3 linked regions of the Cricetulus griseus genome follow. The protein of the gene in region 3 interacts with the protein of the main gene of each other region in a biochemical or structural test. Links are inferred from orthologs where the notes say so. Each region holds a gene or a part of one and is shown on either strand. Other genes may lie near its edges.

What was found.
Region 1: the proteins of Pou2f1 (region 3) and Pou2af1 are reported together in a solved structure, tested with the Homo sapiens proteins (2 studies listed by BioGRID, with this or other methods). The link is inferred for Cricetulus griseus from reciprocal best matches to the Homo sapiens genes POU2F1 and POU2AF1.
Region 2: the proteins of Pou2f1 (region 3) and Rxra form a complex in vitro, tested with the Homo sapiens proteins (2 studies listed by BioGRID). The link is inferred for Cricetulus griseus from reciprocal best matches to the Homo sapiens genes POU2F1 and RXRA.

What each region holds. Positions count from the first base shown.
Region 1 is NC_048597.1:162,976,971-162,981,044, forward strand, and holds the start of Pou2af1 (POU domain class 2-associating factor 1), read left to right. Parts: upstream 1-1,273; coding exon 1,274-1,418; intron 1,419-4,074. UniProt on the Homo sapiens protein: Transcriptional coactivator that specifically associates with either POU2F1/OCT1 or POU2F2/OCT2. It boosts the POU2F1/OCT1 mediated promoter activity and to a lesser extent, that of POU2F2/OCT2. It recognizes the POU domains of POU2F1/OCT1 and POU2F2/OCT2.
Region 2 is NC_048599.1:139,356,507-139,360,532, reverse strand, and holds the start of Rxra (retinoic acid receptor RXR-alpha), read right to left. Parts: upstream 2,802-4,026; 5' UTR 2,721-2,801; coding exon 2,693-2,720; intron 1-2,692. UniProt on the Homo sapiens protein: Receptor for retinoic acid that acts as a transcription factor.
Region 3 is NC_048598.1:26,467,864-26,471,908, reverse strand, and holds the start of Pou2f1 (POU domain, class 2, transcription factor 1), read right to left. Parts: upstream 2,806-4,045; 5' UTR 2,801-2,805; coding exon 2,740-2,800; intron 1-2,739. UniProt on the Homo sapiens protein: Transcription factor that binds to the octamer motif (5'-ATTTGCAT-3') and activates the promoters of the genes for some small nuclear RNAs (snRNA) and of genes such as those for histone H2B and immunoglobulins.

The DNA of each region.
Region 1 (4,074 bases), on a different chromosome or scaffold from region 3:
TGGCCAAAGAACAACTTTCTTCCTGTTTGGAAAAAAGTATCAGCTAGTCTCCATAAATGAAAATGGTAAATTTGAAAACCTTGAGAACTTGACTCTAAGAAGAGCACCTGCAGCAGCATTTCCGTAAAGAATGTGAATAAGCCTGTGGCCTACCTGAGCTCAAGTTTCCCAGAAGACCTCAGCTATCTCAGGCCACCAAGACAAACAAGACTCTTCACATTAAAGTGTCAGCAAGTTTTCAGATTTTGTTTTCAGTAGAAGCTGGGACAAGTTCGTTAGCCCTAGGCTTGAAGTCCTATTGTTCAATTATTTGTTTTGGTTTTGCTACAAGTAAAGAGAGTGTTAGTTGTCTTTCTCCTTAATGAGCTCTATTTTCTTTTGGATAAAATTGAACACCAGCAGTGAAAGAAAACATTCAAAGTGGTTATGGGGTGGGGATTGATACCAGAACTGTCTTAAGTGATAGTATGGGTCATGTGACCTTCTCATCTAGGTGGCTTTCATCTTTCAAAGTGACCCCTGAGGTTCAACTAGTTATGAATTCAACCTTGAGCAGTCTGTCAATCTGGGACAGAAAGGCTCCTAGAGCTGTGAGGATGCCTGTTCTGTGGCTCCCTACGATGTAAATCCCAGTTTAACCTGCATATTACACCGTTTTTAGGGTAGAGCTCTTAACTGTTATCCAGTCTGTTGCTTGTCTGGGGACCCATGGGAAATCTCAATGTGTGAGGCAAGGCTCTTCTCTCAGAAAACACCTGATGGACATGGGCTCTTTTAAAGCTATTCTGAAAGACAAGTTACTGATGACTAGGACCTGGCTCCTGGCTCTTTAGTTGAGTGGGATGTGTATTGTGGTTTGCATGGGGTTATTAAATAAATAGGTGCTGATGGGTTTGCATATTTCCTTAGTGAGATTTTATTATGCCTTCATTGAGAAAACCCGAGTGCTTATTTAACTCAGAAGGAACCTGTGTTCTCTCAGCCTGGTGGAGCCTGAGTACTGATGCCACTGTGCATACAGGTAGCTATATAACCTGTTGGTTTCAAACTGTTGTGCTGTGGTGGAATGGCAGCCCCAGGATTCCTGCAGCAGGTCTGGGTGTGTGACAGGGGAAGTGAAATGCCCTCTGCCGACTGTTTATGCCTCTAGATCTTTTACTGCTCTTTTTGGAAAAAGGAAGCTCTCTCTTATGTCTGTGACCAAATGGGTGTGTTTTGCTATCAACTAGCCTTTTAAAACTTTTTTTTTCTTCCTGGAATACATTGGCAGTTTATGGGCAATAGTAAAGAAAGGCAGTATGGTGAACTCCTGTCCAAAGAGATTGCCAGAGGTTATGTTCAGATGGACTGGTTTTCCATTGTGATGGACTCTTCAGGCCTACAGACGCTCAAGGGCTCTTCACATCGCAGGAGGAAGGGTGAGGAACCATCTAGCTTTACTAGAAGGCTGCCCAGAGCTGCAGTTTGATTCGAGAATTATTAAACTCTCTATTTATCACTAGTCTGGATGCTCTTCTTCTCTGATGATACAGTATTATTTCCATTTCTACTTTATTCTCTTCACATACTATTTTAAAAACTGCTATTTTACATTATGTTAATATTTTGTTTAAAAAGTCCTGAACTATTTCAGTGCAGTTATTGCAAAGTTATGTCAGTTCAAGGACTCAGCAGCCCCAAGTTAAAGCAATGGTGACTTTGGACAAACTTCTTTTCTTCTTCCAAATTTCCATAGTGGGCTCCATTCTGGTGCTGGCAGCAGCTGAGGTCACAGTGTTTACTGGGGAATTATGCTGATTGTTACTTAATGTAGATTAGTGTGAAAGACCCCAACTGCAAGTTGTCAGTTTGCAAATATTCTTGTCTATTGAGCCTCCTGGGCAGACATCTTGATGCTTTGGCTTCTCATATTTCAAGGCGCTTTGCAGAGACACCTCAGAAGCAACCCCACTTCTGCCTGCTCAGGGAGCCAGTTACAGGATTCCTTGTCAGCTGTCTAAGGACACAGAGCTGTGGGAGTGTCCCAGCTGTACTAGACCAGTTCAAGAGAGGAAATAGCACCAGAGAGGGAATGGGACCTGGAGGCCTCTAGGCCCTTCCCCAGAATTGTACATGCAAATCAGAGGTCCATGGGTAACATTCCTGTCTGTGATCTGGACTGAGACGTATGCATAGTGTTCCCCAACTGAATTCAGGGTGTGACCATAGTACTTAGACCATCTCCTTCCTTTGGTCCAAAACCTCATTATTTTTTTCTGAGAGTACAGTATCTCAAGTTAGGCTCTGTGCCTGAGGAATGGAAGGAAACCTAAGAAGAGGTAGGCAGAGATTGAGTGACATGTCTGTGAAGAAAACTGTTGTGGTCATGAATGATCCTGAGAAGGGAGCAGCAGCAGCATGAAGCAGCGGCAGAGATGCCTTACTGTCGCTCATGGCAGTCCATACACACTTGTGTCTGTGTGTAGCACTCAACAGTATTCTGTGGACAGGGTGCACAAGCATTGCTGGTGCAGGAGTGCTGCACTCTGAAGGAAGATTTGAGGTTAAAAACATGTCACTGAGAAGTTAAAAACATGTCTCCATTTTACAGATAAGGAAATTGAGGCCTAGAGTCATTACATAAATCTGCGGATTTTCTACTAGTAAGTGACAGCCCATATTTGAACGCAGGTAGTTTTGGCTGTTAAGTCTGTTGTCATTGCTGTTTTGAACAATGATGAAGGTGGTTTCAGGGCACAAAATACTATGCTGGTTCTTACGCTCTTACGTCAGCCCAAACCTCTCATTTGTTACATTCATCTCACTGGTAGGTATTGTATTGCTTCTTTCCTCTGCTATACTTTACAACCCACATGTGCAGGGCCCACATCCACGTGTGTCCAGAAACTTTTTGGAAGAATGAGGATGGGAGTAGGGATTCCCTTTTATCACAGAGGACACTAACACGAGGATCATCTCTTACTGGGATGTTATGGAGCAGCTCTTGTGTTAACTAAGGGATGAAGTATCAGAGTCAGGTTTGAAGATGACCTCAGGCATTTTTATATAATTTATATATCTACATAATTTTTATATATCCAGACTCTTTGACTTAAGTGGATTGTCCAAACCATATTTCTGGGGAGCAAGATCCCAGGTATCTGTATTTTACATCAGTTTCCAGTAGATTTTGCACTGTGGTCAGTTAGGACACCATAGCATATATAGGTCTGATACCTAGTCTGAGAGCTGGGGTCCTGACACTAACGGTCTGCCTCCAAAGGTCATTCCCCTTTGCTTGCTGGCTCTGCATGGCTTCTTTGCCTCCTGTCCTTCAAGACCAGATCATGTTGGTGCTGGGAGCCTAAGAATCCCATGGGAGATCTTGGGCAGCATGAGGCACACATTGTTATCACTATCAGCTGGGTGTTTACTGAACAAAGTTCAGTTCAGGCTGCCCTGTGGATCCGGGTTGAACAGATACCCAGGCTTCCGGGCCTTTGATACAAAGCCTGGGTCCCTGGCCCCTTATCAGTGGAGGATAATGGGTTCCTTATGTGAGTCCCAGAGACCATTGCTTCTTGATCTTGGGTGACCTAGCTCTTGGCCTGCCCTCCATGGGCCTTTCCATCTGTATAGGTAGTTTGTTTCTGATCTCCCAGCAAGAGAAAATGCTATACCTTGGCTCTGGTTTTGTTGATACTTTAGATTCTTGGATTTTTTGACAAAAGGGAACAGAAACATTTTCCCAGTAGCAAGGTGGACACTCCACTCCAGGTCACATGAATCATCACTGGGTATTTGTCTCTTGTACTGAGGATCACCATGCACCTGGCAGACACTTTTTTTTTTCAGTCCATTAACCCTAAAGGTCCAGGAGAGTTGAAAGGATGATAAAAGGAAGTACATTTGAAAGCACCTCCCAGATGATTAGTTAACGTTCAGCCAAGACTAAGATATAGATAACTTAGGCATGTCTGCCACTTGAGAAGGCAGAGACAAGGCACAATAGATCAAGAAGCTTATAATCTCATTGGAAGCATTTTAAGCTCACATGAACAAGAAAAACTAATCATTACCTAGCAGGCCATAGAT
Region 2 (4,026 bases), on a different chromosome or scaffold from region 3:
GCCCAAAAGAGAATACAGGCAGACAAGGCCACTACCACAGTCAGACCACCAACAGGGGGTCACTTTTTCTCACCCTAACACTTCCTCAGTCAACAACAGAGTCCCCTCCAGAGTTTCCCAAAACAAATGCCCAAATCAGTAGGCAGCTGGGGGCCTAACCGTGAACTGCCTCGTCAGGCCCAAGCTGGACTCCAAGCCCAGCCTCCTGAGAGTCATGTGACCCTGTTATTTCGGGACGACCGGAATGTGCTCTATTTTGGGTCACAAGGGCTCCAATGTTACTAAAAGCCCCCTCACACAGGCCCCAAGTTCACTAGATCCCCAAGAACCACACAAGAGGGTGGTTGGAGGCCTAGAGCCCCACTTCTGGAAACCTGTTACCCTCACATACAAATGAGCCACACAGCTGAGAGGGTCAGTGCAGGCTTGGGACCTTTGGACTCTGCAGGCTCAGCCTTACAGTCCCACCATCCAAGCTGAGGCCAGGCTGAGCCCTTACCCCACTCCCCAACTCCAGCCCTGGGCAGCAAAGCCAGGAAACAGGGACTGCCTGGGGCAAATTCCCCATCCTCCCTTTCTTCTCAGATCTGTCCCATACAGATCAACTCAGTGGAGAGAGGCTCAGAGGCTATCTGAACCACCAAACCCCACACAGTGCACACTGGGAAGAGCCCTCAGTCTCAGACCCCAAAAGTGGCAGGGTAGTGAAAAAAGGACGGCCAAATCTTCCCAGCCACTTCAAGTCAAACCTAAGTTGTCAGTGGGGACCCTGGATGAGCCAGATCCTCTGACACTCAGCCCCCAGGAGGGATTAGGCTGTGTTGACAAAAGGGCTTAGGCAAGTAGCTGCTTAAATGGACCTTCAACTGCACTGGACTTCAGAGCTGGTCACAAGCTTAGTAAAAAATAAAATGTATTCAGAGCCCAGGACTCACCACTCAGCCCTGGGGCACAAGCTGCCTGGGAGGCCACAAGCTGGTCCTGAGAGCCACCACTCTGTGAACCCAAGACTCTGGGTCTCCTTGTGGGGGGACAACAGCTCCAAGACACAACTCCTCTTGTTGAAGACTCTAGCCCAGTCACCCTGCAACTGTATGTGTCAACTTCTAGAATGGGCTCTGTCCCTCCTGGCATGTTGTTTCCCATCCCTGGATCTAGGCAAAGTATTGCCAGGCCCTAGCCATGATCCAGGCCAGAGACTAAGCAAAGCATTCCTGTCCTAAGGACCCAGCTCTGAACACATAAAGGCTTGGGTGGAGGAGAAAGAGGTGTCTCAGGGGTCCCACCAACCCCACATCAGGCCCCACAGCAACATGCCACAGTAATACAGCTTTCTTGTCAGTGGACTTTGGCAGGGGGCTCCAACGCCAAATCCACCATTTACAGTCTCTAAGTGCGGCCTCTCCAAGCCAGTTTCTCAACTACAACATGGACAGAGTTTACACCCTGGGAGCCAGACCCTCAAGCTCAGCTGAGCCCCCATGGTCTTCAGCACCGCTCATAAGGACGAAGTGTCTGAAGCTTTGACAAACTTGGAACACTCTATCAAAGTCACTCTGCAGCAGACCTGTCTGGGAGCTGTAAGAAGGCTGGGGCCAAGGGGGTGCCACCTCCCCAAATCACCAAAAATCCTGGAAGCCATGCTGGGTTCTGATCACCCCTAGGGGTAGCAAAACTGCACCCCAAGCTTCATAGGGGATGGCCAAGCAAAGAGGCACTGATCATCATGGAGCTTCGTCCATAATCAGCTGTCCTGATTTCCATTCAGCACAAATTCTTCATCAGCCTGACAGCCTGGCTGCTGTCCTCACCACCAAATTAATATCCTTCCCAGAGCTCATTTATAAAGTCTCTCTACACTGTTTCCCTCTGGCTCCCAAAATCCCTGCGAGAGCAATGGATTGGGGGGCTCCGACCCTGCTGGGTTCCACTCCCGGAGTTGGCAGGCTGACGGTCACTGAGAGCTGCTGGCGGGAGGGCAGCAAGACAAGAAAACGGACTCTTCTGCCTATGGGCTGTTCTCCCCCCCTAAATACCAGGGAGAACAACTAGGGGTGCCAGAGCGTGGGGCCCCAGTTCTGGGTTTGATGCTCCTCATCAGAGGCCCCTGGGTGACCATGCCCACCTAGGTTTGGGCTGCTGTCGGGGAACGGCAAGATCGCAGACTCCGTCTGGGCCAACAGACACCCAGGGGCCAGCGGCCTGCTCCAAACAGCAGCCCGACGAGCCCGGAGGAGCAGTGGCCTCCCGGAGCCCAGCGCGTCGCCCCCATCCCAGTGCCAAGGAGGCCCGGAGCCCTCCAGCAAGCGCAGAAGTTGCTCCTCCGGCGTGGCCGGATTCTGGGCGGCTGAGGCTGGGCGCCCCGGGGTTCTGCGGACGCGCTACGCGCACCGTGAGGGACCCCTCTCCACGTCTTGAGCGAACCTGCCGCTCGCCCCAGCCCCGCCGCCCACTCCCGCTCCCCGACAAGTCAGAGGCCCGGTGCCCTCGCCCTCTCCCGCCGCGAGCCCGGGCCCGGGAAAAGTTGCCCTGTGCCCACTCGCCTCCCCGGGCCCGGCGCGCCAACTCTCGGTACCGCCACAGCGCGGGGCCCAGCGGGCCTGGCCGGACCCCCCACGCGCGCTGCGCACGCGCCCCCGCCCCGCCAGCCCCGGCCCCCTCCCTCGCCCGCGCCGCCGCGGCCGGCACTCACCGAGCGGCAGGAAATGTTTGGTGTCCATGTCTGCGACTAACTTCCCGGCTGGCGGCGGAGCAGCAGGGCGACAGCGCAGCGGCCCCCGGCCGGCCGGCCCGGCCCGGCGGCGGGGCGGCGGGCAGCGGCGGCGGCGGCGGCGCGCGGAGGCCGCGGCGCGGCGAGTTGTTGCAAAAGTCGCCCAACAATGTAAACTACTTGTGCCTGCGCGCGCCCGGCGCGCGTGTCCGCCGCCCGCGCCTCCGCCGCGCGCCGCGACCCGCTCCGGCCCGGCCTGCAGCGGGGGGGAGCGGCGGGGGGCCCGCGACGGGCGCGGACTCGGCGCAGCGCCGCCGCCGCCACTCGCCCCGCCCGCAGCCGGTGCGCGCCCCGCCCGCCGCTGTCGCCGCCGCCCCGCGCTCGCCGCCCGGCCCCGAGTTGTGAGCGTCCTGCAAACTTGCAAGTTTGCGTCTGCCAGGGGTTCCCGGGAGCCGTGGGGCGGCGGCGTGGGAGGAGGGCGGGGCGGCCGGCTGAAGCAGCCTTCCCTCCCCGGCTGCCCAAAATCCCCGCGGCCCGTGGTGGAGGAGGAGGAGAGCGGGGCCAAGAGGAGAGCTCAGCGGCCGGGCCATTGTCTGCGCGGACACACAAAGAGGCCAGCCGTGGTCGCTCGGGGACCATGGTCTGGCAGGGCTCCCTAAAGGAGAGCTGAGGCCCCGTGCACCCCAAGGGACACATGGGGAAACTGAGGCCGGGGAGGGGTGATGAGCCAGAGGCAAGCAGCTGGGCAGGGGGATGCCCCAGTGCCCTCCCACTTACACGCGGGAGGCCCAGAGAGAACCATGGTATCTGACCGACCGAAGGCCAGACCCGGGGCGGGGGGGGGGGGCGTCCGCGTACCGGTGTTACCCCGACGGCCCCAGCCCTCTTCTGAGGTGCGGGGTTCGAGAGGCGCTGCGGCCCGCTTCGGACATCGCCCAGTGGCCCCAGGCTATTTATATACCTTGGGCAGCTCTCTGCCCTGACTTTTAAATTCATGATTTGTTTGTTTTAAAACGAAAGGAAGCACTCCTACCCAGAGAGAGCCTGGGCCTCCTCCGCAACCCGCCCGCCGTCTTGGGCGGCTGGAATTCGGATTTGGGTGTGAGCTACCTGAGCAGAGCCAAGCCAGCCTCCCTAAGCGCACTGTGTCCCTGAGCCAAGCCAGGCAACCGGCAGTCCCGCCTCCCTCCACTCCCAGCTGGTGCCTGCCAGACCAACATCCAGCGTGGAGGCCCTGGCAGAGGGGCTTACCAAAGTCCACAGGCACATCGTGGGTGCTGCCCAAAGAAAGCACCTCCTCTCCAGACAAAAAAGGA
Region 3 (4,045 bases):
CTCCATTGCTATACTTCACCTCAGGACAATAAATCACATTAACTGCACCTTGTCCTCTCTCCAATGACATCATCAGTCTGACCACATCTTGGGAACTGGGTGCAAAAACATATGCTATTTAAGGCATGAAATCATTACTGCTTTTTGTCCATCTACCTTCATGCTTCAGCTCTCTGAAGTGGTTATTCACCTGGGCATTCTCAGAAAAGCTCCCCCCCCCACTTCATTCAGGGCTTACCTACTGGATGTGAAAGGGGAAAATGGTGAGACCTAGTTATTTTAAATGAATTTGCACTGAGTCCCCTAACTCTGAAATGCTGTTACAAGTTAAACTGAAGTGGCTTAACACCAACAGGACTCCTCGTATACTTGCCCTAGAAAGCAACACCTTTTAAAAACAAAACACTTACAGGACAGACCAGAAATCAAAATGATTGTTTTCTCTCAACAATAAAACTTAATTGGTTTTCACAGGCCAATTGTCTTAAGTCTAGATAAAACAAAATCAATTCTGACACCTTAAAGCAAGGGGTGGGCATGCTGAGTAAGTTCCAAGATCAGGGTAGACACAATGCCTGTGTTTATCTTCTATTTTCACTCATTTAACCATGACACCAACACTCACAGAAAACATAACCCCATTTCTGTTTTCGGTGCTGCTCCGATTAAAATAAGCAGGTTTGTGTCAGTGGTAGCACAGCATGAGCGTCAGTGCAGTAACTGGAAAAGCAGAAACAACCCAAGTGTTGTCAACTGGACTTTCTAAACTACCTAGCTGCTCCTCAGCTCCTGGAAGGAAAAATCTACGGGTTTTACAAATACTACAAATCTTTACAAAGCCCGAATGAGTTTAACTTGGGGAGAAGGAGACTATGCCCACAACAAAGTTCTCTATTTGTACTAAGCCAGTAGCCCTCATAAGCCTCTGAAAATTGGAAATAAGGTCCTCGTTACTGCAAACTGCAAGAGAAACTCCTTTTAGGCGAAAACAAGCCACTACAGAGCTGATGCTCAGCTCGAGCTGTTTTTAATGCTGGAAGGTCCCAAGAGGATGTGTTCTGCCCGCGGAGGAGGGGACTCAAGTGGCAGTTGGTGGGGGAGTCATTTTGGTTATTAGTAAATAAATCAAGCAGCAGAGAACAAGGCCTAGGCAGCTACTGGGGCAGTCCAGGCCTAGTTCTCTCCTTGTCTTCCTAGCACAGACTGGGTTTGATCTCAGAGCCTTGTGGATTGCCAAGGAGGAGGAGAAAAAAAAAAAGAGAGAGAATCATATCGAACCACAAAAGCACATGGGGCGAATGTAAAATATAAACACGGCGTTGGGCTGTGAGTGGCTGTTATTAAAGGTCTGAATTACTAAACATGAGAGGCGGGGAAAGCCAGGCGGCCATTTCAAGAATATAAACCTCCCTGAATTAGACATTATTCAAATGAGAAGCAAGTAGAGGACCCAGCACGCAGCGAGAAGGCACCACCACACTCAGGAGGGGAGGGGAATCTCCGTGTCTGGCCACCACCCCCGCTCCCCGCAGGACAGAAGAAATCTAGAATATGATCAACTTGTCCGGCCAGCCCTTTGAGGGCAGGAGGGCAACCCTTTACGGTCGAGTTCTCGGGTGGTCTCCAGGAGCTCCCGGGCCTCGGAGCGAGAGGGTCCCCAATGCCACCCTCGCGTGGGGAGGGTGGGGGCGTGCGCGGAGGAGCGACCAAAGCCAGACTGTCCCGCAACCCCACAACAGCGGGGTTTCTCCAGACACGCGGGGCCCTCTGGGTGCGGGCCCGGGACACACGGACGACCGAAGCCATTTCCACGGGGGGGGGGGAACTTCCCCGAGGGCTCCTCCCACCCAGCCCAGCCTCCGAAGGGACCGAAGGACCCCGGAGCGGACTCCGAGCCCGAAGGCCACGTCCCGGGGCCCATGCCACGCAGCCCCTGATCACGGACGCGGAGCCGCTGGGGTCAGGCCGCCGCCCGGGGCACCGGCAGGGCGCGGCCGAGGGGCCCGGGCCGTGACCCCCGGGCTCGGCCCCACGAGGACCCCCGCGCGGCCGCGGCAGAGCGCCACCCCCGATGCTCCCCGCGGCGGAGCAGCGTCCCCCGGACCGAGCCCGCGCCGGCTCCCAATCCTGGGGCGCCGCCGCGGGTGTCCGGCCGCCGGGGTCCGCTCCGGCCTCGCCGCCCACCGGCATTGTGCTCGCCGCCACCTCTGGCCCCTCCACGCCCCCCCTGCCCGCCCGCCCGCCCGATCGCCCGTCCGGGTCTCCCGCCCGCGCCCCGCCGCGCCCCGCCAGCCCAGCAGCTATGAATATGTAAAATGTCTTTATTGTCCTCTCCCGGTGTCCCGGCCCCGCCGCCCGCCGCGGACCCGCTCCGATTCGGGCACCGGGCGAGAGGGGCGGCCGCTCCGGCGGCGGCGGCGGAGGAGGAGGAGGAGGAGGGCCGGTGCCGGCGGGCGGGCGGGCGGGCCGGTGCGGCGGCGGGGTGGGCCGGGGGCAGGAGGAGCGTGGCGCTTTCACAGCCCCCTTTGCCCCGGGTCTTCTTCCCCCTCCGCCCGGCCGCCCCGAGCTCCTTTCCCCCTCCGCTGGGCGCCCGGAGGGGTCCGTGTTCCCCGGCCCCCCATCTCCTCGCCGTTAATTATAATAATCCTGAGTACTAATAAATTATGCTAAGTCGCGGGGGGGGCAGCGGGAGCCGGGGTTGAGTATGAATATGAATATGTAAAATGCTGTAATGATTACCTGCTGCTGCTGCCGCCGCGGCTGAACTCTCATCTTGACTCGCTGCTCCTCCGTCCGCCATTTTGAATATTTTAACCAAAATCGCCCGGTCGATAAACCCTCCCTCGCTCCCGCTCCCCTCCCCCTCCCGCCCCGACCGCCTCCTCCTCCTCCCTCCTCCTCTCCGCACCCTCCCGTTCCTTCCTCTCCCGAGGCGCGCGCCAGGGGGCGCACGAGGCCGGCGCTGCCCTCCGCCGGCCCCCTCGGAAGAGCTCCACCCCCCCCCGCGCGCCCCTGTGCGCACGCGCGCTCAGGCTGCCAGGCCCCCTCCGGCAGCTCCGGTGCCCGCGACCTGCCAGTCATGCCTTGCCTCCGTAGGCTACGCGCACGCGCAGTTTCCCTCCCCCGTCCGTCCGTCCCCCTCCTCCCCCGCGCCTGGGAGGAGCAAGGCGCATGCGCTCCCCTCCACCCTCGTCCCCGAGTGCAGCTTCACCTCCGAGTGTAGTCTGTCAAGTGCTCGTGTCGTGTGTCTTCCGATAAATGCTCCCATCCTCCGCGTTATCCCCTTCCCGGATCAGTTCGGGGTCCCCATGGCGGGAGCGTAGAAGGGCAGCGTGCACGGCGGCTAACAGCGAGGACGACGAGGACCGAGGGAGCGCTCCACAGCCCCGCGCCCCCGGCGCTCGCTCACTCTCTCGCTCGCTCGCTCGGCACTTTCTTAAATCTTCCCTCGCAGTTGGCTCGGACAATGGAGGGGCCGCTCCCCTCCGAGGTAATTTCCGGCCCTGCGGGCAGGTGGGGGCGGAAACGCCCTCGGCGGGCCGCGGGCACGAGGCACCTGCTGGGCCACGCGCGGCCGTCCCGCTTTCAATTTGAATCCGAACTAATCCCCGCCCCGCGGCTCCGCCGGTGCTGCAGATTCGACCCCGGCCGGCGCGCGGGGCGGGTCCTGGCGGCGCTAATTAGCCGGTGAAGCTTCTGCTCCACTTGTTGCGGGCGCCGGGCGAAGCCTGCGGGAGCCGCCGTCCGGATCGCCGCCCCCTCCCCAGCCGCCTTCCCCTGCCCTTCGGCCCGGACCCCCTGGCGCGCGCCCACCCGGGCGAAACAAACGGGTTCCATCTGCGCCCAGGACCTCGCTTTTGGAGCACCTTTTAAAGGCTCCTTGTAAACTGACCTGATTAAAAATGTGGACGCCGGCGGGAGCGCCGCCGTGTATTCGCTTGGCTGTGTAGCTCAGTAAATGAAATAGGGGAGCAGTTTCCTCTTGTATTCCTTCGGATTTGGCCAACATATGGCCGAGAGAGTTCTCTTTCCTGCTGAAGAGTTT